5 linked regions of the Daphnia pulex genome follow. The main gene of each other region encodes a partner of the protein of the gene in region 5 in a complex. Links are inferred from orthologs where the notes say so. Each region holds a gene or a part of one and is shown on either strand. Other genes may lie near its edges. The genes, in order: general transcription factor IIF subunit 1-like; DNA-directed RNA polymerases I and III subunit RPAC1-like; RNA polymerase I-specific transcription initiation factor RRN3-like; general transcription and DNA repair factor IIH helicase subunit XPB-like; DNA-directed RNA polymerases I, II, and III subunit RPABC2-like.

The links.
Region 1: DNA-directed RNA polymerases I, II, and III subunit RPABC2-like (region 5) and general transcription factor IIF subunit 1-like share a complex: the UniProt entries of both Homo sapiens proteins name them as parts of the TBP-based Pol II pre-initiation complex. The link is inferred for Daphnia pulex from reciprocal best matches to the Homo sapiens genes POLR2F and GTF2F1.
Region 2: DNA-directed RNA polymerases I, II, and III subunit RPABC2-like (region 5) and DNA-directed RNA polymerases I and III subunit RPAC1-like share a complex: the UniProt entries of both Homo sapiens proteins name them as parts of the pol I pre-initiation complex. The link is inferred for Daphnia pulex from reciprocal best matches to the Homo sapiens genes POLR2F and POLR1C.
Region 3: DNA-directed RNA polymerases I, II, and III subunit RPABC2-like (region 5) and RNA polymerase I-specific transcription initiation factor RRN3-like share a complex: the UniProt entries of both Homo sapiens proteins name them as parts of the pol I pre-initiation complex. The link is inferred for Daphnia pulex from reciprocal best matches to the Homo sapiens genes POLR2F and RRN3.
Region 4: DNA-directed RNA polymerases I, II, and III subunit RPABC2-like (region 5) and general transcription and DNA repair factor IIH helicase subunit XPB-like share a complex: the UniProt entries of both Homo sapiens proteins name them as parts of the TBP-based Pol II pre-initiation complex. The link is inferred for Daphnia pulex from reciprocal best matches to the Homo sapiens genes POLR2F and ERCC3.

Annotation. Positions count from the first base shown.
Region 1 is NC_060018.1:349,948-355,047, forward strand, and holds general transcription factor IIF subunit 1-like, read right to left. Parts: upstream 3,249-5,100; 5' UTR 2,940-3,248; coding exon 2,922-2,939; intron 2,863-2,921; coding exon 2,827-2,862; intron 2,769-2,826; coding exon 2,695-2,768; intron 2,628-2,694; coding exon 2,350-2,627; intron 2,270-2,349; coding exon 1,970-2,269; intron 1,905-1,969; coding exon 1,658-1,904; intron 1,594-1,657; coding exon 1,334-1,593; intron 1,275-1,333; coding exon 1,199-1,274; intron 1,148-1,198; coding exon 947-1,147; intron 885-946; coding exon 677-884; 3' UTR 517-676; downstream 1-516. Other genes in the region: uncharacterized protein LOC124188758, read left to right, coding at 1-45, 98-188, 249-386; regulator of microtubule dynamics protein 1-like, read left to right, coding at 3,276-3,358, 3,422-3,651, 3,713-3,861, 3,921-4,228, 4,290-4,427, 4,492-4,606, 4,678-4,719. UniProt on the Homo sapiens protein: TFIIF is a general transcription initiation factor that binds to RNA polymerase II and helps to recruit it to the initiation complex in collaboration with TFIIB. It promotes transcription elongation.
Region 2 is NC_060020.1:1,789,775-1,794,646, forward strand, and holds DNA-directed RNA polymerases I and III subunit RPAC1-like, read right to left. Parts: upstream 3,231-4,872; 5' UTR 3,167-3,230; coding exon 3,074-3,166; intron 3,009-3,073; coding exon 2,937-3,008; intron 2,866-2,936; coding exon 2,625-2,865; intron 2,545-2,624; coding exon 2,425-2,544; intron 2,367-2,424; coding exon 2,184-2,366; intron 2,104-2,183; coding exon 1,987-2,103; intron 1,917-1,986; coding exon 1,794-1,916; intron 1,729-1,793; coding exon 1,616-1,728; 3' UTR 1,611-1,615; exon of another isoform or gene 1,582-1,610; intron 1,533-1,581; 3' UTR 698-1,532; downstream 1-697. Other genes in the region: sodium/potassium/calcium exchanger 1-like, read right to left, coding at 460-570; uncharacterized protein LOC124192222, read right to left, coding at 3,756-3,922, 3,988-4,223, 4,285-4,376, 4,570-4,872. UniProt on the Homo sapiens protein: DNA-dependent RNA polymerase catalyzes the transcription of DNA into RNA using the four ribonucleoside triphosphates as substrates.
Region 3 is NC_060026.1:14,529,529-14,534,433, reverse strand, and holds RNA polymerase I-specific transcription initiation factor RRN3-like, read left to right. Parts: upstream 1-1,537; 5' UTR 1,538-1,759; coding exon 1,760-1,984; intron 1,985-2,054; coding exon 2,055-2,344; intron 2,345-2,404; coding exon 2,405-2,557; intron 2,558-2,614; coding exon 2,615-3,028; intron 3,029-3,092; coding exon 3,093-3,274; intron 3,275-3,334; coding exon 3,335-3,453; intron 3,454-3,511; coding exon 3,512-3,769; 3' UTR 3,770-4,342; downstream 4,343-4,905. Other genes in the region: uncharacterized protein LOC124203933, read right to left, coding at 1-52, 119-333, 399-490, 560-725, 787-1,013, 1,073-1,153; protein piccolo-like, read right to left, coding at 4,661-4,905. UniProt on the Homo sapiens protein: Required for efficient transcription initiation by RNA polymerase I (Pol I). Required for the formation of the competent pre-initiation complex (PIC).
Region 4 is NC_060020.1:5,844,609-5,848,867, forward strand, and holds general transcription and DNA repair factor IIH helicase subunit XPB-like, read left to right. Parts: upstream 1-1,459; 5' UTR 1,460-1,618; coding exon 1,619-2,810; intron 2,811-2,880; coding exon 2,881-3,144; intron 3,145-3,209; coding exon 3,210-4,138; 3' UTR 4,139-4,213; downstream 4,214-4,259. Other genes in the region: RNA-binding motif protein, X-linked 2-like, read right to left, coding at 1-251, 312-441, 503-661, 966-979. UniProt on the Homo sapiens protein: ATP-dependent 3'-5' DNA helicase/translocase. Binds dsDNA rather than ssDNA, unzipping it in a translocase rather than classical helicase activity. Component of the general transcription and DNA repair factor IIH (TFIIH) core complex.
Region 5 is NC_060023.1:6,841,101-6,844,492, reverse strand, and holds DNA-directed RNA polymerases I, II, and III subunit RPABC2-like, read right to left. Parts: upstream 1,892-3,392; 5' UTR 1,734-1,891; coding exon 1,705-1,733; intron 1,630-1,704; coding exon 1,480-1,629; intron 1,418-1,479; coding exon 1,210-1,417; 3' UTR 1,190-1,209; coding exon of another isoform or gene 1,112-1,189; 3' UTR 1,068-1,111; downstream 1-1,067. Other genes in the region: ATP-dependent RNA helicase DDX18-like, read left to right, coding at 24-201, 276-421; LYR motif-containing protein 2-like, read left to right, coding at 734-781, 851-890, 959-1,056, 1,112-1,189; chymotrypsin BII-like, read right to left, coding at 2,911-3,026, 3,092-3,190, 3,250-3,392. UniProt on the Homo sapiens protein: DNA-dependent RNA polymerase catalyzes the transcription of DNA into RNA using the four ribonucleoside triphosphates as substrates.

The sequences.
Region 1 (5,100 bases), on a different chromosome or scaffold from region 5:
AGTTGATGAACTCTTGATTTCTGTCACATATGATATTCAAAGAAGGTTTGCATGTTATGATAAAATTTGTGCTGAAACTAAAGTATCCAATTCTTAGTATTGAGACAATGGTCATGAATAAGACTGTATCATTTGGATTTGCTCCATCCTGGAAAGCTGCTGCAAATTATATGAAAGAAGCTGCTAATGTAGGTTACTTTATGTTTGTAGTTTTTGATACACTTTTAATGTTTATTTTCCGAGTCCAGAAATTCTCCGTCGAAAGTGTCGCCGAATATTCCGCCGATTATCAGAAAGATATTGAATTCTTGATTGAAAACGCGAAAAGGGCTTGCACAGACGACGAAGCAGACATGTCAAAGCGACTTCAAGTTTTCTCTCTATAGTATTCTGAACGAATATCCAGCACCTTGCTCACCACCAAGAAATGTTAACTTGTCAGTTCAATGGCTGTTTTTCATCTAAAAATGTGAAGTGTTTCCAATAACAGATAACTTGTTGAAATAATACCAAAACTTACAACTGCAAATTTGTTTAATCGTTCCGAAAATCACGCATTTTAACAACCGTTCTAGTCCGTTTTTATAAACCGTAAAGGGAAGGCCTGAGATAATTTCAGTAAAGTAGCAATAGTGATTGCAGCACAAACAGAACACACCAATCATCGTTATTGTCGCTAAGCCTTAATCGACAAATACATCTTCCCTTTAATTGTCTGCTTCACGGGGTTGATCTTCTTCAAAATTTGTGCAATGTGATGGACAAGCTGGTCCGACGACAAACCAGTTTTCTTGCTTTTGAACTTCTGAAGCAATTCGGTCGTTGTCATTGGCTTGCGGGATAAATAACGTCTAACAGACTCTTCATTGACTCCTTCATTGGCACTGTAAAAGAAAAAATATACATAACGTTTCAGGATTAATTTTAGTTCATTATTTATAAATACCTAGATGATGATGCAGCTGAAGCGGCAGAGGCAGCTGAAGCAGCGGATGCCATGTCCAATCGAGGTTTCTTTGTTGCTTGGCCAGTAAGAGCATCGGACACTGCAGGTGTTCCCTTTCGCTTGCTATCTGATAGCGTTGTTTTAGGCGGCGATGTTTCAGGTTTCGTCGGAGTAGCTGATCTAGAACTGTTGGCACTCCCCCTAGAAATAGTTTGTCAGTTAACTGTCAGGAAACCAAATTACTGCACTTACGGTTTCATTTTTGGGCTCGGTTTAGCTTTCTCCAGTTCGGATGCTGAGCTCTCGGCACCGCTGTCGCTTGACGATCCTGATAAATGTTTCGTTATTATTTGACTCAAACACACGATGTTTTTAAATGGATATTACCATAATCCTCGTTGCGGGGCTTTTTATCCTTGTTCTTCTTTTTTTCTTTCTTCTTCTTTTTGTCGCCTTTTTCGTCTTTGGAAGCCTTATCACCTTGCTGGTCTTCGGCACCTTCAGCATCTTCCTCTTCTTTGTCTTTGTCTTCTTCTTCCTCCTTTTCTTCGTCTTCATCTTCTTCGTCCGAGTTAAGCAACTTGCGGAGAGCATCCTCTTCGGCAACACCCTTTAGTCCGTCCTTTGCTTCTTCTTTCTCGAAATCACTAGATTAAAGAACAACGCGGGTGTGTTAGAAAATCGACAAATGCATCAAGATTAATGACATACCTTTCGTCATCGTCGGAAGAGGAAATGTAATCCAACTCTCTGCCTTCACCATCACCATCATCGCTATCTTCGATAGCTTCATCATCGGACGCATTCTTTCGCTTCTTCTTCGGCTTAACAGGTTTCTTGCCTTTCTTCTTCTTTTTCTTACTTTCTCCATCATCGTCGTCGTTATCATCATTGCCGTCGCTAGAATCGTCATCGGAAGATGCCATCATATCGTCCAATTCATCACCAAAACGAGAATCTGAATGCAAAAGTTGTTATAATTTTGTGACATTATTTATGGTGGAACTTTTGCTTGTTGCCTACCTTTAGCTCCCTTCTTTTTCTTGCCTTTCTTTCCTTTGCCTTCACCTTCTTCCTCGCCCTCTTCTTCGGCGTCTTCATCGTCTTTCCTTAGTCTCTTTCTCATCATGACATTGAACATGTTGTATGTTTTGTTCCTCATGTTGTACCCTTCCTCTGCTTCTTCAATACTCAGTGGTTTGTAATTTTGAACTGCTTGAAAACTGTATTGTTCTTGCACAGGAAAGGCATCAAACACACCATCTGGTGCTTGCGTAAAAACGTAGTACGATGCATTTTCATTAATGCCACCATCTCTTACTCCTGTTTAATAAAATAAATATAATTGCACATTACTAAACTTTCTTATTGCTATCTTAGCTTGGTTTCCAACTTTAGTATACCTCTGAACTTTTTCCCACTTTTTCCCCCATGTTGTAAAATCCAAGGCTGGTTTTCAGGATTATACTTTTTGCTTATTATGCCATACTTCTTCCGTCTAGCTTCCTCACGAGCCTCTCTGCCATATTCACTCCCAGCACCAAACTTTGGCATATCTTCATTGAACCCTTTGAATGTGACTTGGTTGTTTTCCCTTTCCATTTTTGGATCTTTCCATTGTACAAAGTCAATACCCATTGAGCCATTGAATCTCATGATGGCAAGCTTTTTGTTTATGTTCCTGTGACAACATTATAAACTCGGTTTAAGAAGGCAAAAATCTAGATGGTAATGTCTGATATTCTTACTTGGGGACTCGAATGTCAATAGTCTGAACATTAGAAGCAGCAGCGGCAGGAGCTGATCCACCAGCAGCTGGAGTCTAATGTAACACATATTATTATGTTGAACTAATTAATTAAAAACCAAAATGTCTTTACCCTGGTAGCAGCAGGAGTTGATCCACCAGTAGGAGTCTTGAGAAACACATGTATTAATATTGAATTAACTGATTGAGAAGACAAAAAAATTGTACCTTGTTAACAGCAGACATTATGATGTGACGGTGAAAAACGATTGACAAAACAACTTCTCACCGGCGACACAATGATCGAGACACACCACCGATGTGTTCGTCACAAGTTCGTCACGAATGGTAAATAACTAACCCAACTATGCACGTTACTAAATTATAGGCCAAAATTAAGGGGTGGTGATCGAAATTTCTATGCCAAAAAATATTGGGACACTTTAAACAGCGCCAACGAATTTTATACCCGACCCGATACTGAAGAAAAATAGTCGACGACGACCCAGTTCAGTTTTCGTCTGCTTCAGTTCTTTTCTTTTCACGTCGAGACTGCACTGTCGACTTCCCGCCTTGAACCACATGATAAATTGTGAAAGGCTATTTCTCACTTACCTTATTAAAATATCCAAAAATGGCCAATCAAAAAGTTTTTTTATAAAGAGGTCTAAATTGTTAAGTAATATTACAAGTAAAGTAAATGATTATTCATTTTTCAACTATTGAAGTTCGTTAGTTCCAATTTTGGTCGCCATGGAATTAGATTACCTATCTATTCTCAACTGCCTAATTCGTTTTTCGTCATTTATTTTCTTTCTGTTGTGGAAAGCGTTCGTCATGGTGTTATCGTTCTCTGGGAGAAAAATATATGGAATAGTTTACCATGCATTTGTTGTGTACAGGAAAAGATTCCTGAATGTTGTTCCTAAGAAACCAGCTCTAGTTTCAAGAAACATTGGTAAGTTGCCTAATTTTTGAATTCATGTAACAAAAACAATCAATAACTTGTTAATCTGCAGGATGGATGCTGGGTTTGTTACCTGCAGTCTCTGCTAGTGTAAAAGTTGATGAAGAAAGAGAAAATAAGACCAATCTTATTTCTGAAGCTGATGTCTTGTACAATGAGCATTCCTACACCAAATTGAGAAGTCTTCTGTTGCCCTACAAGGTAATAAGAATAAACTGATTTGTCAGTCTCTGTTTTAATGTTGGAAAAACTTTTTTTAGGCCGAAGATAATGCCGAAATTCTTTGGCGACTGGCACGAGCGACGTATGAAGTAGCGAAATTATCGTCCAGTCCAATTGAACAAAAAGAATTAGATTTTGAAGCATACGGTTATGTTGAAGGGGCGCTGCTCATTGATCCGGAAAACTTTGCTGCTCACAAGTGGATGTTTATTTTGTTAGATAAAAAGGCGTCCTACGAGGGCTTAAAGGAGCGCATTTCTCAATCGTTTGTCGTCAAGAAACACATAGAAAGAGCGTGTGAACTCAACCCAAAGGATGCAACTTCATTTCATTTGCTAGGCTACTGGTATGACAAGATAACAACTTTTCTTTTGTATGTAACGTAACACATTTTCGTGCAACTTTAGGTGCTTTTCTGTTGCTGAATTGCCGTGGCTTCAGAGGCAAATTGCCTCAACCTTGTTTGCTACACCGCCCGTATCTTCTTACGAAGAGGCACTGCAGTATTTCCTAAGAGCGGAAGAAGTTGAGCCGAATTTTTACAGGTACGGCTTGGTTTAATTTTTCATTTTTCTAAATAATTGTGCATTTTGAATGGTTTCGTTTCAGTACGAATTTATTGATGCTGGGGAAAACATATTTGCGGCTCAACAATAAAGAAAAAGCTATCGCTTATTTGACCAGAGCTCGAGATTATGCTATCGCCTCGTCAGAAGATTTGGAGGTGACATATAACGCATTAACCTTTTCTACATTTTATTGTTTGATAAAAATGGTTTTACATTGATATCATAGGCCAAACACGAGGCAGTCAAGCTATTAAATTCCATCAGATAGGCCGCTGGCTCCAAGGACGCTCGAGGATATTTACCCATATCCTTCCACATAAAGAAAAATGTATGCGCCTCTTCTGTTTACCTTGAAATTTAATCAAAAATGTTTGTTTTTTTATTATTAAATGATTTCCTTGTGTGTGTGTTATCGGTACAACATGCAATAGTGCAACAGTTTCCCAAATTTCCCCGTGCGTGTTTACGAATACAAAGTTCATTCACTTGTTCTCGATAGGTCCGATAGGTAGCGTTGCGTGTCACCACAGCCCGAAATGTGCCGAGCTAGAATCCCCGCCAGCCATATGAAGGGAAAGGATACGACGTATGTGTTATCTGTACGTGACGGTCCGTCGGCATTGTGAGTTGCTTCGTGTAGTTCTGAGCT
Region 2 (4,872 bases), on a different chromosome or scaffold from region 5:
CGCAAAATGTCAGCTGTGAATGCTATGAAAACACGAAAAACACAAAAATAAAAGGAGGAATGAAGCTGTGTTCCTTTTTTTCTTTTTTGGCTGTGATTTGCGATGCCAGAGACTCAACCGAGATCCACTTCCTTCTTCTTCTTTTGTCTTCGCGTCAGGAGCACTCACGTATACACACACACACACAATCACATTAAAACGCATCTTCTATTGTTCCCATTACGAGATATCCTCCTATCTTTTGCATTTTCTAATAACTTGGCTCCTAAAACTTGACGCTGCACGAAAGACGGCCTAATATCTTCACTCGTTTTTAGTTGGCGACGTTCTAGTTTTGTCATCACAGCAAAAAACAAAAATTTTTTTTTGTTGTTTTTGGTTTGGCTGTGAAGCAAAAAATGAACGAAGAAAAGAAAACAGTTGAGGGGATTTCAACCGCCCCAATAATGGGAGACTTACCGGCATATAGTTGCTACGCAGGGATGACGTGTAGGCCGACGATGATGAACCGCCATAGGAGCTACCGTAGGAGCCACCATATCCTCGTTGACTGGAGTAGTAGCCTGCCATTGCGTAATCGTCTTCTCCGGATCCGAAGAATGAAAATAGGAAACGATAGGGGTTCAAAACCGAAATAAAAATGAATAGACAATCATAGGCATAAATTTATATGAGGCATTCTCTTACCCAATTTCTGTTGTCCAGCCAAGTCCAAATGAGAAAAAAGATCTCCCTAATTAACAACTTCACGATCGGCCCAGATGGGGGAAAGGGGTCTTTTGATTGAGGGAGACGGTTTTTCTTTCGTCCGGCCACCAAGCAGAGTGCGTCGTCGACTGTACTTGTAGTGAACGTGGAGATGGAAAGCGACCCGAGTGCTCTACGTCCGAAACAAAACTCTTCCACAAGCTCGCAAGCTTCCACAAGCTTCCACGAGCACTAAATTTAGATGCCACGGTCAATGAGAAATAGACTTAAGAGAAAGAGAGAAAAGAAAATAGGAAGAAGAAGAAGGGAAAGAGAAAGGGAGAGGAGATAAAAAACAAAACAGAATACACTTCTTGTTCTTCTTCCCATTTCCTTCATCTCATCTGCCTAGACTTTCTTGGCACCACCTACGCATATTCCACAATGGGCTAAAACGAATTGGCGGTGTAAACAAAATGTGAGAAGGAAGGAAGAAGAACATTAGAAGGAGGAACATCTCGGTTCACATCCAAAACAATCAAAACCTTAGGATCCAAGGTCAATAAGAGGCTACTACAGCTTATCTAGCAAGTCTAGCGCCAACGTTTCGTAAAACCAGTAGCGAAACAAACAGAAGCCATTGTTGCAGAAGGCAAATAAAAATAGCGATGGAAAGGAACATATGAAAAAGGATAGGTATCCTTCCGTAAAACCAGGAAGAATTAGTTGCTCGCCTCCACCCCTCAAATTTTTTAAATAAGTCTTCCCTTCCTTCCGTTTGAAAAGCTCCGGTTTCGGTTTCTAAATGCAGTTCTGGGTCACTCGGCTGGAATCCTGGGTGATAACTATATCAACGGCACAAACGCCTCCAGGTGAACTAATAATGCGTAATCGTCATGAATCAACGCGTCTATTTAGGATACCATTCCTACAGTCCATTCTTCAATTCATCCAAAAATACACGGCATTTTTGTGACAGGATCTTGGCGGCTTCAGTGAAGAGGACCTCCGGCGCCAGTGCTCCAGTAGACTCGATGTAAACTAAACACATTTTCAAATGCATCGCTAAAGTAAGGAATAAGCAAAAATCCAATAACAATACTTACAGATGAAATGGTCGCGTGCTCGGGTCAGCTTTACAGTGTCCTCTTTTAGATCTTCGTGACGGAATACGTTGCGGCTGCAGATGTCATATCGGGCATCGTTGACTTTGGCAACCTTCTTTTCACCTGAAATAGAATAAAAAGGTAGTGCTTCACACTAATTAAGCTAGAAGAAAAAATATAGTATGTAGCAAACCTGAGTCGACCAAATCAATAACCCCAGGGGAAAAGCACTTTTGTAATCTTTGGGCAGCTTCACCTTCCACTTCCTTAAGAAGTTTCACTTGTGGTAGGAGACGGTAAAATGCGGTAGCTTGAGAAAATAGAAAAATAGTTTTTGTTTAAATCTCGGTCCAAAAATTCTTAATCATAAAAAAAAACAATAAAACTAACCAACGGGTGAGAATTTTGCATGTTCTCGTCCGGTCCCTTTCATTGCGTGCAATTTGATGTCAAGTTCGTGACCAGGTCTCATTTTTGCGATTAGAATGTTATCGTCAACTGGTCCAACTGCATCAGGGGTAAAGATATCTTTTTGGCCACCCAGTGGAATCCATTTCAAATGAGATGTCAAAACTGAAAAAAGTAGGTCAGCATTCTGTCGAAAAAAAAAGGTTTGAGTTTCCCTTCTTACCTCTGAAATCCCTGTACAAGTGTTCAGGATTTGTATGATCTTTAGTCCTTTGAGGATTCCACGAACATTTCACTTTTAACTCAAATTCAAGTGTATCTTCAGGAGTCCCAGTATCATCATCTAAAATGAGAGATGGGGTAACAAAGATTCAGTTATATGAAGTAAGGTGACAAAGAAAAGAATGGGTGTTTGGAGTATACCTTCAGCTCTGAATTCAAACAATCTTGGGTCAGCTTTCAATGGTATCAGTCCCAGTCTGTGGGCCAAGACTTCATCTTGGATGATTGAGGTATTGTTGAACATGAAGACTTTGTCGAAGGCCATGGTGGGAATATCAGACAGCAAAATACGACGAAAAGCATTTGGTATGGCTGGATCAACACCAATCAAATCAAACTCCATTTCCATATTTTCCATGCGGACAATGTTAATTTTGAGCCTCTACAAAATCAGAAAAAATGGTAATGCTCTCTTTTTATCTACTTATAGTGTAGAACTTTTCTTAGAAGAACCTTTTTGAACTTTTCAAAACTCCAACTGTCGTCAAACCCATGATGATTTCCTGGGAAGTCTGTGGCTTCAGCCTAAATAGTTATTTTTATTATTAAATTTGGTTGAACTTAGGAAGATTTCTGTTATGTAGTATTACATTAAGAACTTCGAATTCTGTCAGCACGAGTTCATTCCTACTTTCATCAATGTATTCCTTGCTTGATGAATATTTAACTTTACTTTTACTCATTTTTCCGTTGAGCTTTAACACGTGTCTGGACGAGGGAAAAATTGGCAAATAATGACTATTGTGAAAAGTGTCGTCTGCTTTTATTTATTTTTAAAATTTACTGCAAGATGTCGCCACCGTCTCGCCACCGTCTCTCAGTTTAATTCAGTTCAAATCGAAACCGCTTTTCTAGAAAACAAACGGACATATATTATAGGGTAAAGGTAAATAATAAGAAATTAAATATTATTTTGATAGCCAATAAACACCCTCCTCTCAAAAAAAGAAAATCCTATTTCCAATAGTATTTCAAGGAATTTGTTGAGTTTTTATATTTCTATTTTTTCTGAGGCAAATAACACATACACGTTAGACACAGTAACTGTACACGATATAAACAGTTAGCTTGGATGTTAGCGCGATACTTACGGTATAAGCTGAAGTATATTCGGCGTATCAAACAGTCCGAACTAAACTAATACGTCAGCATTTTACAGACATGTAATGTATGGGTAAATTATTTCTTTCGGAGGAGAGAGAATAAATGGGGCATTTATCCTGAGACTGAACCATCTATGAAAAAAAAAATGTATTCGTCTTTGTCATTTATTTAATTTTTTGTCTTATTCTTTGAAAGAATGTATTTGGACATGACAGCAATTCGTGAATTGATTTTGCTGTTATCGTCGCTTGAAGCTGAAGCCCTTGGTGTTCTACGTCTCGAATACGACTCCGGTTCTGCTGTTGCCTGCGGGATCGGTCCTCGATCAGATTTTCCTGTAATTAAGAAGTTCATTTGCAGGTAACAAAAAAAATTACAATTGGTAGAGGATGTGGTTTACCTGCTGCGTCTTTTTCCAAATCCGAATCCTTGTTAGTGGAACGGCTAGACAAGTACATTGAGTAGCGCTTATCGTAGACGGGCGGATCGTAAGATGAAGAGTCGACCGGCTTTATCGACGACGGCCTGGCATACGAGCTGCTGTAGCTAGGACTGTAGCTATCAGAGCTGTAACTTGAGCTTCTCTTCTCGTAATCCTTATCATCGTTCAGATAGCTCGAAAAGAAACGAGACAAACTATTGATATTCATTAAATACCATCTGGTTCATTTGCGTGAAAATTTGATTTGTTCGTTACCGAGTAGAGGGTTGGGTGTTGGTCTTCGTGGCGAAGCGATTGAGCACTGACGAAGTCGCCTCACGCAATTTGCGTAAATCTTCTTCGATATCCTGAAAGTGAGCTAATGGTTTGTTAATTGATCAAACAAAAATGTAGTCAACTTATAGAATCAAAACTTAGAACCCAACGGTAATTTCTAATAATTTGAGCTTATTCTATCAGCTATAGAATAAAACTATTTTTAAGATATGCTACGCTATGCAAAATACGTGGGTGGTTCACAAAGCGCTCAAATAAATTTACCTCTAGTTTCATGACGGGTTCTCCGTTAGCATCATCATCCAAACACGAAGCGGCACTGTAGCGCGCCCTGGTCGTGGTACCGGTAGTCTTGACGGGTGCAATGTCGTCATCACTATCCAAGTACGACGCACGAGTGTGGCGCGAACGAACCGGGATTTTGACAGGTTCAAATTCTTCGTCGTCATCATCCAATTTCGAAGCTCGATTACGACGGGGTCTGTCTTTCTGAGTATTGACAGGTTCAATGTCTTCATCATCGTCTTCATCACATTCAAGTCTATCTCGTAGATATCCGTCTCTCTC
Region 3 (4,905 bases), on a different chromosome or scaffold from region 5:
GCATCGCAATCACCTGTTTCCAACACCACGACTGCTTTTTTCCCGTCGAGATCTTGTTTGGCATTAAAAAAAAACAGGATTAGTTAAAATTATTTAAAATCTCACGGCACAAAGTTACCCAATTTGAGATTCGAAGCTCCATCGCGCAATGCGAGCGCTTGATCATAGCTACCGCAAACAATAATATCGATGCCCTCTGAAGAAGTGATTCCTTTCAACCTTTCAGAACTTCCGGCATACACGCTGCAGTCCAATCCCACTTTGTTTAAAAATTCCCCCATTAAAAGGCATGGAATTGCTAGAAGATCATTTTCAGGGACCAATACAATTGGCCTAAAGTCAAAAGGTAATTCAGTATTTTCGTTTATCAATAAGATAAAGGGCTAACTTATGCTTACATTCCTCTCGAAACGAGTGGTGCGATTGCACGCGACACAGACAGCACTGGATTAGATGAACCCACAATTACAACAGCAATATTGTTCCCAATCTTTGAAAAAAAAACCAATAAACTTTAGTAGAAAAAATTTAGTAATGCAACTGATAATGAATTTAATACTTGAGTAACAGGACATGACTCTAGCTGATCAGCATAATAGGTCCAATAACTTGCAGCTGGAACAATTTCATGTTGGATGCAGTAGCGTAGAGGTTTGCCAAAAGTGGTTGAAAGAGCCAAACCAAGAAGTTTTTGATATTCAGGTTGACTTAATAACATCCCAAGTCTTTAGAAATAATTGGTGATTACAAATACAGAAATAACACATTTAGACAAACATATGATACTCAGTCATTTTGGCAGATGTTTCTAGCCATTGGATGTGTGACCATTTTCTTTGTCTGTCTTGCTTGAGAGCTCTCACAAATTCTTCAAAGTCACCATCAACACGTTTCATAATGGAAACATTCTTGGCCAACTCTTGATGAACAGAGCTAATCATGAGGAACTTGCCCCAATTGGTCCCTTCTCCTTGGCTAGCAGGGACACTTAAAGGTGAAGTGGCAACCCAATTCTGTCATTTAAATAAATTGATGATATGAAACTATGAAGAAATTACATCGATTGTTTTACTTTAAAATCGCGGTCGACCTCCATGCTGCTTTTTCCGTAATTAAGCGTAGCTCCTTTTACAGCTTCAAGAATGTTGACCATCTCAGGATGAGTGTTTAGCTCTAATATTTCTTCCTGTAAAAGTTCAGCAAACGAATGTTATATGGAATGTTTGAGATAATTTATGGATACACTTAAAGATAATTCGATCGTACGCTTTATTACGGAAATTACGTTGTCACTTGCCAGCTGTTTGTCTCTGTCAAAACAAGTTGAAATATCGTGCGTGAATACAGCTGTCACATCTTACCTGAGTCATTATGGCAAAACAACTTTAACCACAACTTTCGTTTTCATTTTGGCTTCGAGTTAAAAAAAAATCCTAATAATAAAATTTATAAAATGTTGCTCGTTTTCGATGTTTGGAACTATTATTTTAAATTTATAAATGTATTAAATCGTAAAGAAATTTGACAACGCTGTAGGCTAATAGTATCATCGCACTAGCAGACTGATAAAAAATCAGCGCGAGCAGTGAGAGCTACATTGATGAGACAACGTGGTCTTGGCCGTTTTTTTTCAGTTTTAGTGATTGCAAAGATCACAAGCACAGAGCTCATCACTATAGTAAAATCAGAAATCGTTAAGAGTTCGAGAACCAAGTAGTTTTATTTTTTATTATTGTATTAAGTAAAAGAAACGATAGCCATGGCGAGTACGAATTGCTCCCAGTTGACTCCCATACCACAGTCCATATTGAAACCCAGTTCGCGAATCAGTATGCAACCCAAGAAACTTTCCCAGCCTTTGCAGGTCCGATTTGACTCCTTGGTCACAATTGACGTGGTTTCAATTTTGAAGGATTATATCGAAGGGCGAAGCGAAGTGAAATATCACCAATTATTGAATCTGAAAAATGATCCTAATGTCAATGTAAGTAATTTGGGGAAAAAACTGGACGTAGGATTACAAGATTACGAACTAAGAATTTTTTTATTTTTAGGATGGATTTTTACTCCTGATTCTTCAACAAGTAAACAGCTCTATCAGTCTGCTGACTCCAAAAGTTGATTCCTTTGTTGATGCATTGCTGCATATTTCATGGACAACAAGACAGCCCCCAGTACTTGATGAATATTTGACATTTCTCCAAACACTAGTTTCAGCACACACATTCTACTGTAGATCAGTAGTCAAAATGCTAGTCTCACATCTGACACTTAATTCAGACTGTGAAAAATCTACATCGAATGTGCATCTAGTTTTGAGGGGAATTTTGCAGCTGATACCATTGTAAGAGCCCTGTAATTATTTGTTTCCAGGATCAAGAAAATAATGTTTTTGTATTGACAGGTCTCAAAGTATTATTTGGGATTCTTTAAATAATGGTTTTCCCTACATTGGATCAAGCAGTTGCAATCAAGTAAACTACATCAGAAATCTTCTACATTTTGTTGAATACCATGAAATGTCTGGACCCCGTGTTTTACATCTCATCATTGGAAGGTATGTCAGTCTTTAATTCATTTATTTTAATTAACTAATTGAATAATTTTTGTATAGAATCATTAAATTGGACAGCAGAGTTTCAAGAGAGGACTTGCTACAAAAATTCAATCAGCCTATGGAGTTTGATGAGGATACAGTCTTGAATCAAGCTTCTGAAACGTTAGACGAAATCATGAAAGTTATGTTTGAGTTGTGTCATCGCAAATGTCATAGCGAATGGATTGTTCATCGGAATTTTTATCAGGACATGTACGCTACGTTCGAATCTTTGATACTACCGGCCGCCGGTATCCATCATGTCCATTACTTGATGTTCTACATATGTAGTACCAAAACTGCTCTCTATGAAGCTTTTACTGAGCGCTTGTGGGTCATTTTTCTTACCCCTTCATCTCAGTTGAATATTCGAAAATCGTGTGCCGATTACCTTGCTTCGTTTTTGGGGAGAGCCTCTTTTGTACCCATGAAGTACGTTCACATTTGTGATAATAAGACCAATCAAACCAAACATTAACTCGTGATTTCTCTAAAGGTACGTCATTGACTGTCTGGATCGAGTGTGTCAGTGGATTCACGCATACCTCGATCGGCAATCAAAGGGTGAGGGAGCAGCTGTTTTTAAAATCCGAGCCCATGCAGCATTCTATGCCGCTTGTCATATTCCCTTCTACGTTTTGGCTGCTAGGCATCGAGATATTGTCAACGACAGAAAGCGTACGATGATCGTTCTTTCTTATTGTTGGAATTCAATTAACCTTTTGATCATTTTTGCAGTTCTCGCCCGATTGCAAGCCCTGGATTTGAACCGAATTGTCAACTCACCTTTGAACCCACTACGCTATTGTCACGCTACAACTGTCAGACAATTCGCAGAATCCGCTTCACATCTGCAGGTTGTACCACTATCAATCAAGTTGATTTGTAACGTAATTAACCGAAATTCTCGTTTAGATTGTATTCTGTCACACCATCATGATTCGTAATCAGAGGGTTTGTATACCTGAAGCTACAACTGACACATTTGTCATGGATACAGAATATCCATTCGAGAAATACCTCTTGCCCTCATCGATGGACTTTGTGTCACCTCTTGTTATTGACAAACCTATCGGTCGTGACGATTCACTCTACGACAGCGATCAGGTTATGGAGGAGCTTTTGTCTGAATCACCAAGAGTTGGCGGCTTTATGCACCACTTCATGGGTTGATTTCATCGATATTGTCGTTGGTAAAATCTAAAATTTACCCCATTTTCCCTGTTTCTTTATTTTCTGCAATTCTCTACATCTTTATTACCATATGACCGTCTTTTCCCATTCGTGTCGGTTAAATTATGTATATTAACGTGGTATATATTCACTCGATCGTGCCTATTTGTTGGAAGACCGTTGAAATTAACATTTTTTCCTTTTGGGTCTTGGTCTACGGATTAATCATCCGTTACGCTATTCACAACTTCGGGAGCTGATCACTGCTGCGGTTTTTCTTCGTAAGAACATTATTTTTCCTTTTTCTATACTCGATCGTATTGGGCGGCTTGGGACGTACGTTGAAATTCTCCTTTGATTCGTGGGCTTGTTAAATTTCTTTTTGTCTACTCTCCCGATTACCGCAATGTTATTTGCTCTCCCCTTCGATTTCGCCGTTTCCTATTCAACTTACAAAGATGTTGTCGCCAGCGTGTAATGAAAATTAAAGTTTTCGTGTAATTCATTTGAAAAAAAAAATTGCCACTTAAAAACCAGTTCCCTTTAGTGAGAATAAAATTCAAGTGAAGCGTGTCGGTTGCATTTGGGAATATAAAAATCGTATAATTCTGTTTTCATCAAACACCTATTTATACATCAGTTGAAAGAAAGAATAAACTTTGGTAGGTGAAGAGGCGGGTAAAGGCACTGCAATTCAATGCGCACATTATGGGTTTTGGCGCATATTTTTTTTAAACACCAACAGGGGACTACCAAACAAACATGCAGGCATGCTGAAAAAGACGAATGGTGACATGTACACTAGCGCCAAGCGGTCGTGACACCCATCATTCTTCTGATTTTACATCACGGTGCTGCAGGTAATAAACTTCAATACTACATTCATTCACTTTATTCGTAATTATAATGTTTGGAAACTCGTGATCCGATTTTGGTCCACCAGGTCGAATAACCTCCGGAACTCTCCTTAGGATCGGCTGCTATTCCGGGAGGCTTTAGGTACTTGACGGGCCTTTGAGTTAAGCCGGGCAAGGTGGACTGCTTGAAAATTGCGGGCTTCTTCTTTTTGCCTTCGTATGCAAATGGATTGGCAGGGTAGTCCTTGGTTCCCTTTTCGGTGATGAAAGCCACTTCTG
Region 4 (4,259 bases), on a different chromosome or scaffold from region 5:
TCCTCTCTGTGCTTTGGTTTACTGGTGGATTCTGTATCTTTTTCTTCTTTTGGAATTTTCCCTTCAGACACTGCAGCAGTCACTGATGCTGCGGGATTTTCTTGAACGGAATTCACAAGAGTTTTTATAATTGACGATTCAGGTCCACACCCTTCTTGGAGAATCCTCAGTGCATCTTCATCAAGCTTGTCAGGATCTTTTGGAATTTTATACTGCTCAACGTGGTCGACACGCAGAGTTCTCCCACAGACCTTAGAAAACATATTTTGTAATAATGAAATGCCTGACAACCCAAAAAATGTTATTTTTACCTTGATGCTATTTAAATTGTCAACTGCAAGAATTGTTGATCTTTGATCTTCGTAACATAAAAAACAAAAGCCTTTAGACTTGCCTGTAACCTTGTCTCGTACTAAATTGATGTTTGCAACCTCTCCATACCTTAAAAAAAAATTTTAACTATTAATAGCAATAATAAACATCACTTAAGTATTAACCATACTGAGAAAAAATGCAGATGATGTCCCCCTCAGACAATTCATAAGGCAATCCTCCAATGAAAATCCAAGCACTGTCTTTGTATTGATAATGCCATGAAGCTTTTCCTGATATGTTGTACTTCAGTTCAGTCTCGCTGAGTTTCTTGATATTCTTCACATTCCTAAGAAAAAGGAAATAGCCATATTAATAATGAACTTATAATATATTCTAGTCTAATAAGGTAGCATATAATATGCTTCGTTCTACGCAGCACCAGCAGATAACATGATTCCAAACTATATTTATGTTGTCCAGTCCCTACATTACAACACCCCCACACAAAACCTTCGATAAGTTTTATTATATTTACCCTCACTATGTGTTAACATACTTTTTAAGTTAGCCATAAATCGAAAATTTCTCACAAATAATATTGATACAAGATTATGAGTTTATGAATGATGCAAAAGCTATGTAGTACTTACGTTAGTGGATTCATCTTCGTCCAACAGGAAAGTTCTCGTAGAGTTTAGTTTAACTTGAAGATGGGCATTATTGCAAGGTGAGGAGTACTTAAGTCAGGATCGAAATCCGAAAGAATAATAACTGGATGTATTTGATTGAATTATTTGAATTGCTTTTCTTATTTCCGATGGCAGTTAGCGAAATGCCACTTGCCAAACCAAAGCCAAAATATCAAGCAGACGATCACGTTCAAGGAAAGAAGGCATGTAAGACGTACCGAGTGCGCCTCTGGTGTTTAATATATGCATAAACATCTGCTATTATGATCTCCGTTGATTGCTTGAATATAGGAAAATAATTCATTTAATTTAGAAGTTAGAAATAAGTTTTCAAAGTATAAATTTACTCGAAACGATCAAGAAGTACAAAATATAATTCTCGTTCTTGATTTTCCGCTAGGTGTGCTATGTGTGCCCGAACCATGCTTCTGCTTCAGGCGATTTATTTTTGTGTTGTTGCTCTCTCTCAGCTGAGTTTTCACTGTCAGTGTTCAGTCTTCACTTCAGTGTTCGTCCAAAGTTCATCATTCAATCACTTTACCGAGAAAGTTAAATTTGTTTAGAATTTTCCAGCAGTATTCATAGAATAATTCACGGTTATTCCTCTGTTTAATATGGCTGGGGGGAGCCGTAAATACGGGAAAAAAGATGGAGATCGTTATGACGCGTCCAAGAAAAAATTTGCTGGTAAAAAACGAAAGGATTTTGAAGATGAGAGTGCTTATGATGAAGGCATACCGGATGGAAATGAAGCTGAGGGTGTGCCAGAAGCGGCAAAGCACTTCATTGAAGTTGAAGGTGAAAGGCAAGGGGAAGATGAATATGGAGCCAAAGATTATCGAGACTTGCAGCTTAAACCAGACCACATGTCTAGACCATTGTGGGTTGCTCCCAATGGCCACATCTTCCTGGAGTCATTCTCACCAGTCTACAAACACGCTCACGACTTTCTGATTGCAATAAGTGAACCAGTTTGTCGTCCAGAACACATACATGAGTACAAGTTGACTTCTTACTCATTGTATGCTGCCGTCAGTGTCGGGCTGCAAACTCATGACATCATAGAGTATTTAAAGCGCTTAAGCAAAACTGCTGTCCCTGATGGAATTGTAGACTTCATAAAGATCTCAACACTCTCTTACGGCAAAGTCAAATTAGTGTTGAAGCACAATCGCTATTTTGTTGAGTCTCAATATCCAGATGTCATCCAAAAATTGTTGAAAGATCCTGTAATTCAAGAATGCAGACTTCGTCACAGCGTGGAATCTTCAACAGATGGACTGATCACTCAAGTTCAATCAAAAGCAACGTCTATTCAATTTGGAAAACCTGGTACTTCAGGAGAGGAACCAGGAGAAGAAGGAAAGCAAGTGCCTGATGACATATCGAATTTTTACGACAAAATGGACAAGGATGAGGACGACGAAGATGATTCTTCTCTTCAAACGGTTGCATTTGAAGTAAATCAAGAAAAAATTGAAGTCATTCAAAAGCGATGTATTCAGCTAGAATACCCTTTGTTAGCGGAATATGATTTTCGTAACGACACTCATAATCAGGACATAAACATTGATTTGAGACCTGCAGCTGTATTGCGGCCTTACCAGGAAAAAAGCCTGCGAAAAATGTTTGGCAATGGTCGTGCTCGCTCTGGGCTCATTGTTTTGCCTTGTGGAGCTGGTAAAAGTTTGGTTGGTGTGACAGCCTGTTGTACAGTTCGAAAAAGAGCTTTAGTTCTGTGCAATTCTGGAGTTTCAGTCGAGCAGTGGAAAGCCCAGTTTAAGATGTGGTCTACTGCTGACGATAGTAAGAAGTTGTTAATATGTTTTTATCTTTACTTGATAAATAAATGTTTTTTTTTTTTTTTTCATTTCAGGTATGATCTGTCGTTTTACATCTGATGCAAAGGATAAGCCTCATGGATGCAGCATCATGATCACAACCTTTAACATGATAACACATCAGCAAAAACGTTCGTATGAGGCAGATCAAACGATGAAGTGGCTCCAGGAGCAGGAATGGGGTATTATGGTGTTGGACGAGGTGCACACTATTCCAGCTCGCATGTTTCGTCGTGTTTTGACCATTGTTCAAGCCCATTGCAAGCTTGGTTTGACAGCTACTCTCGTCCGCGAAGATGGTATTTGATTATTTTTACCTGTAATGTATTTATTTGTCTGATCAACGATTTTCTTTATCTTACAGACAAGATTGCAGACTTGAATTTTTTGATCGGACCAAAGCTGTACGAGGCTAATTGGTTGGAGCTGCAAAAACGTGGATTCATTGCTCGAGTACAATGCGCTGAAGTATGGTGTCCTATGAGCCCAGAATTCTATCGCGAGTATCTGGCCTGTAAATCCGCAAAGAAAATGCTTCTCTTCGTAATGAATCCTAACAAGTTTAGAGCCTGTCAGTTTCTTATTCGCTACCACGAGCGACGTAATGACAAAATCATCGTTTTTTCGGATAATGTGTATGCTCTTAAGCACTATGCGCTTACCATGAATAAGCCATTCATTTACGGTCCAACATCTCAGAACGAAAGGCTTCAAATTCTACAAAATTTCAAACTGAATCCGAAGGTGAACACAATTTTCGTCAGTAAGGTGGCTGATACTTCCTTCGATTTGCCTGATGCCAACGTGCTTATTCAAATATCCTCGCACGGTGGCTCTCGTCGTCAAGAAGCTCAACGTTTGGGGCGTATTCTTCGAGCCAAGAAAGGTGCCATTGCGGAGGAGTACAATGCGTTCTTCTACACGCTGGTATCGCAAGATACATTGGAAATGAGCTTCTCTCGTAAACGTCAGCGATTCTTGGTTAATCAAGGATACAGCTATAAAGTCATCACTCGCATGGCGGGCATGGATCAAGACCAGGAATTGAACTACAAGAGCAAGGAAGAGCAAGCCAACCTGCTACAAATGGTTCTGACAGCATCGGATATTGATGCAGATGAAGAGCGTGTACCCGGAGAAATTGGAGGTCGGCCTGGTCCATTTGGACGACGCGTTGGAACCATGGCATCAATGAGCGGTGCCGATGACGCAGTTTATATGGAATATAAACGCCCATCAGCTTCAAATAATTTATCCAAACACCCCCTTTTCAAGAAATACCGCACCAAGTAAAGATTTTCCAAGTCATAAAATGTGATTACTATATCTCAAAATTCATGTTGAATAAATACAGAAACTGGTTTAATACTTTTTATTTCTCACTTTTTTTTGGTGTCTGGTGACAGGTGTGTGA
Region 5 (3,392 bases):
CAAACTTTTTGTTATTTATTCAGCTGGAAAAACTGGTTTCCAAGAATTATTTCCTCCATATGTCAGCAAAAGAAGCTTACAAAGCCTACATTCGTGCTTATGATTCTCATCATTTGAAAACAATCTTCGACGTTCATACACTCGACCTGGCTAGAGTGGCCCAAAGTTTTGGTTTCAAAGTTCCACCGACAGTAGACCTTAGTATGTTTAATCTTATCTGTTGGCCTTGACATTTCAGATTTCACAAAATTTGACTCATACATTTTACTTTGTAGACATGCGTAGTACTAAAGCTGACCGCCCTCGCAAACGCCAAGGGAACTTCGGGGAGACCCATGGAGGAACTAAGCACCGTACAAAAGCAAGCACATATCGTCAAGTTGGACAGAAACCAAGCGACAAACGGCAATTTTCTCGATAATTTTTCTGACTGTTTTATACGTTGTCCACAGACAATAAATTTGCGTATCCAATATTTTCGTTCAAGCTTTATTTCTCTAAATATTGTAATGGTAATTTTCCTTAAGAGATGGCGGGCGGAATTCGTCGCTCATTTGTTTGAGATGGAAATAAAAATAGTTATTTTTCTGAAGGGTATCGTAGAATTAACCATTAATGAATATTGTCAATAGATCGTGAGATGATATTGATAATAGACTCCTAGAATAAATCACTTCAGTAATCAAAACACTTTCAACTGGTTTTAGTAATCTGAATTTACCCACAAATAACTATGTCTACCATTTCAAGAATTCCTAAAAAAGTGCTCACTCTTAAGCAGGTAATTCCATATTTATAGCATTAACATATCACATTGCAGAGCTTCTGATAAAAAATTATTCTCTCTCAGTTCATGCTTAGGCAAGAGGTTTTGAATTTATACAGAGAAGGTAATTGATTACTTAATATTAGGGTACATAGTTCTGATAACTATTAAACAAGTGTTTTGTTCATCAAGTTCTACGCACAGCTAGAAAAGTAGATAGGCATCAAAAAGACGAAATCATCAAGTGGGCTAGGAGTGACTTTGAAACACACCGATCTCACACTAATGAAGTATTAATTAGTTTGTTTTCATTTGGAATTTATTTCACAGAATTTTATTTTGAAGGAAACAATCAAGGGACTTCTCATCAATGGGAGACAAATGGTGAAAGAATTACAAAGTACAATTAAAAAGACATCTTAGTGTATTATTGTATGTTGGACTCAGTCATTGATTACAAGTTCGTCTATTCCCCAATCTTCATAACTTCCATCAGGAAGATAGCGGCGAATGATTATAGGAATTTTCTTCTGCTTCAATTCTTTCATTGCAATTTGCAGGGGATCTGTTTCGCCTTCCAATTCAACCATGACTGGTGCACACATTGCTATTTGTAATGCTCTGGTCCCTAACACCCGTGCCCTTTCATACCTAAAAATGTAAGACTTGTTTATAGTCTTTCATGAGCTATGCATCTTTCAAGTGTTACATACTTTGTCATGTAAGGTGTTGTAATGCGCTTGGTTTGCAGTTGGCCAGCTCCACCTTCACCTTGCTGAAGTAGATCAATTTGTGCATCATCGTCTGGCTGTTCCATTTCATCCATGTTATCATCGTCTTCAGCATCTTCAAAATCGTCGCCACTAAATAACAGAAATTCAACATGTTGTACATGTGATTAAGAAAAGAAGAAAAACTCCAACTAACTATTAACTTACTCGTCGTTCTCAAAGTCATCGTCTGCCATTATTGTTTAAAGGGTAAGATAATCACAGTGAAAAGTGAAAACTGAGTAAGTTAACAAGACCACGAGATTTCCAGTCAAATTTAAGAGATTTGCATTTGCTACAGCGTGCAGACGATGGTGCCCTAGTCAACCGCCACCGCTTTGTCGAGTTGTCGGCCGAGTCAACTTCGGCGTTCGTTCACCAGGTGGCCTTGCGTCCCTTTCTTGATTCAAATGTCGATTCATAAAGTATACGACTATACGTGTGGACTGTGGATACTTTATGGTTGGATCTCGAATGGACGATTCATGGTAAAATACTAAAATGCATCCATTTGTAACAGGGTATAAGAAAACAGTAATTTAAAATGGAAAATGTCAGCACATCGTTGCTTCGTCGACAGTGTAGGACAGTCCAAATGTGTATTAAATAGCTGGGATATTAAGTTGTCGAACGGTTGCAGAGGGTCGATCTCATCAGAGGCGAAAGTAAACCGGTGGCCGTTAGGAGGACGAGGGCAAGAGATCCTACTTGGGATTTCCGGTGAAGTTAAATGTTTTTTTCCAACTTGTAAAAGATGTAATGTTTTACAGCAATTTGCGTGCTGATTATGTCGCCGTCGTACATGCTCGCACGTAAATGCTTACGCTGGTATCTAATTATTACAACTGCCGGACTGTTAAAATGACTGAGATTTTCAAATTCTGGATTCGATTAGAAAATGTTGCGTTTAATGATTCACCTTGTTTTGAGACTTGTTATTACAAACTAAATGAATAAACGATATAGTAATGTACATTAGTAGGTGGGAGCCCTGGGAGGGCATTCAAATGAGTCGTTAGAACCACGCCGTCGAAAGGCTAATCACGAATACGATTGAAACGAGCATAAGGGGTGTCGATAAAAAGGCGGATGTTCAATGAGTGCCGGAAGTTGATTCAATAATATCCCGGATCTACGTTGAAATGAAGAATAAGAGCTCAGTCTGTTGTAACCGTTTGGATGACCCTTTTCTTTTGGCATCCCTCAGTCGAACCGAACGATATGATCCCGATCTGTTTCCACCTGCCGTCCATCTGTTTGTAATTCATCGATCCGCCACTATCGCCCTGCCATATTTGCATACATTTTAAAAGTAAATTCACTAGGATGATTATGCGTTCACTTACTATGCAAGTTCCCATGTTGTTGGCGCCATCACTGGTGCACATAATGTCCTCCTTGGATGTTGTCGCCATAAGTTGTCCTGCAGTCGTTATTGGAGATGAGCCGGACCGTCATCTTATGTAACACTGGGCTTATACGTGGACTACCTGAATTTTTGAAACATTTAACTTTTATTTTGGATTCTCTCGTCGTCGTATGTTGAACGGAATACCGTCGTAAGTTGTACCCCATCTCGTGACGGTAACCATTTCGTTGACGTAATCAGGTTCGTCGATACCGGAAATTGACAGACACACTGGGCGGATGTACTCTGTACAAAATCTTAAATTTAATTATAATTTTAAATTAAAGAACACGAATTAATGATACGTGAATATTTGACGGCGCTTTTGAGTTTGATGAGAGCAATGTCTCCTGCATCGGTGGCAGGATTCCAGGCACGATGGATGAAGGTTTCGCTATTGGAATACAATTTCCGGTTGCCTTCCGACTCTGCCGTGTGATCGTGAACC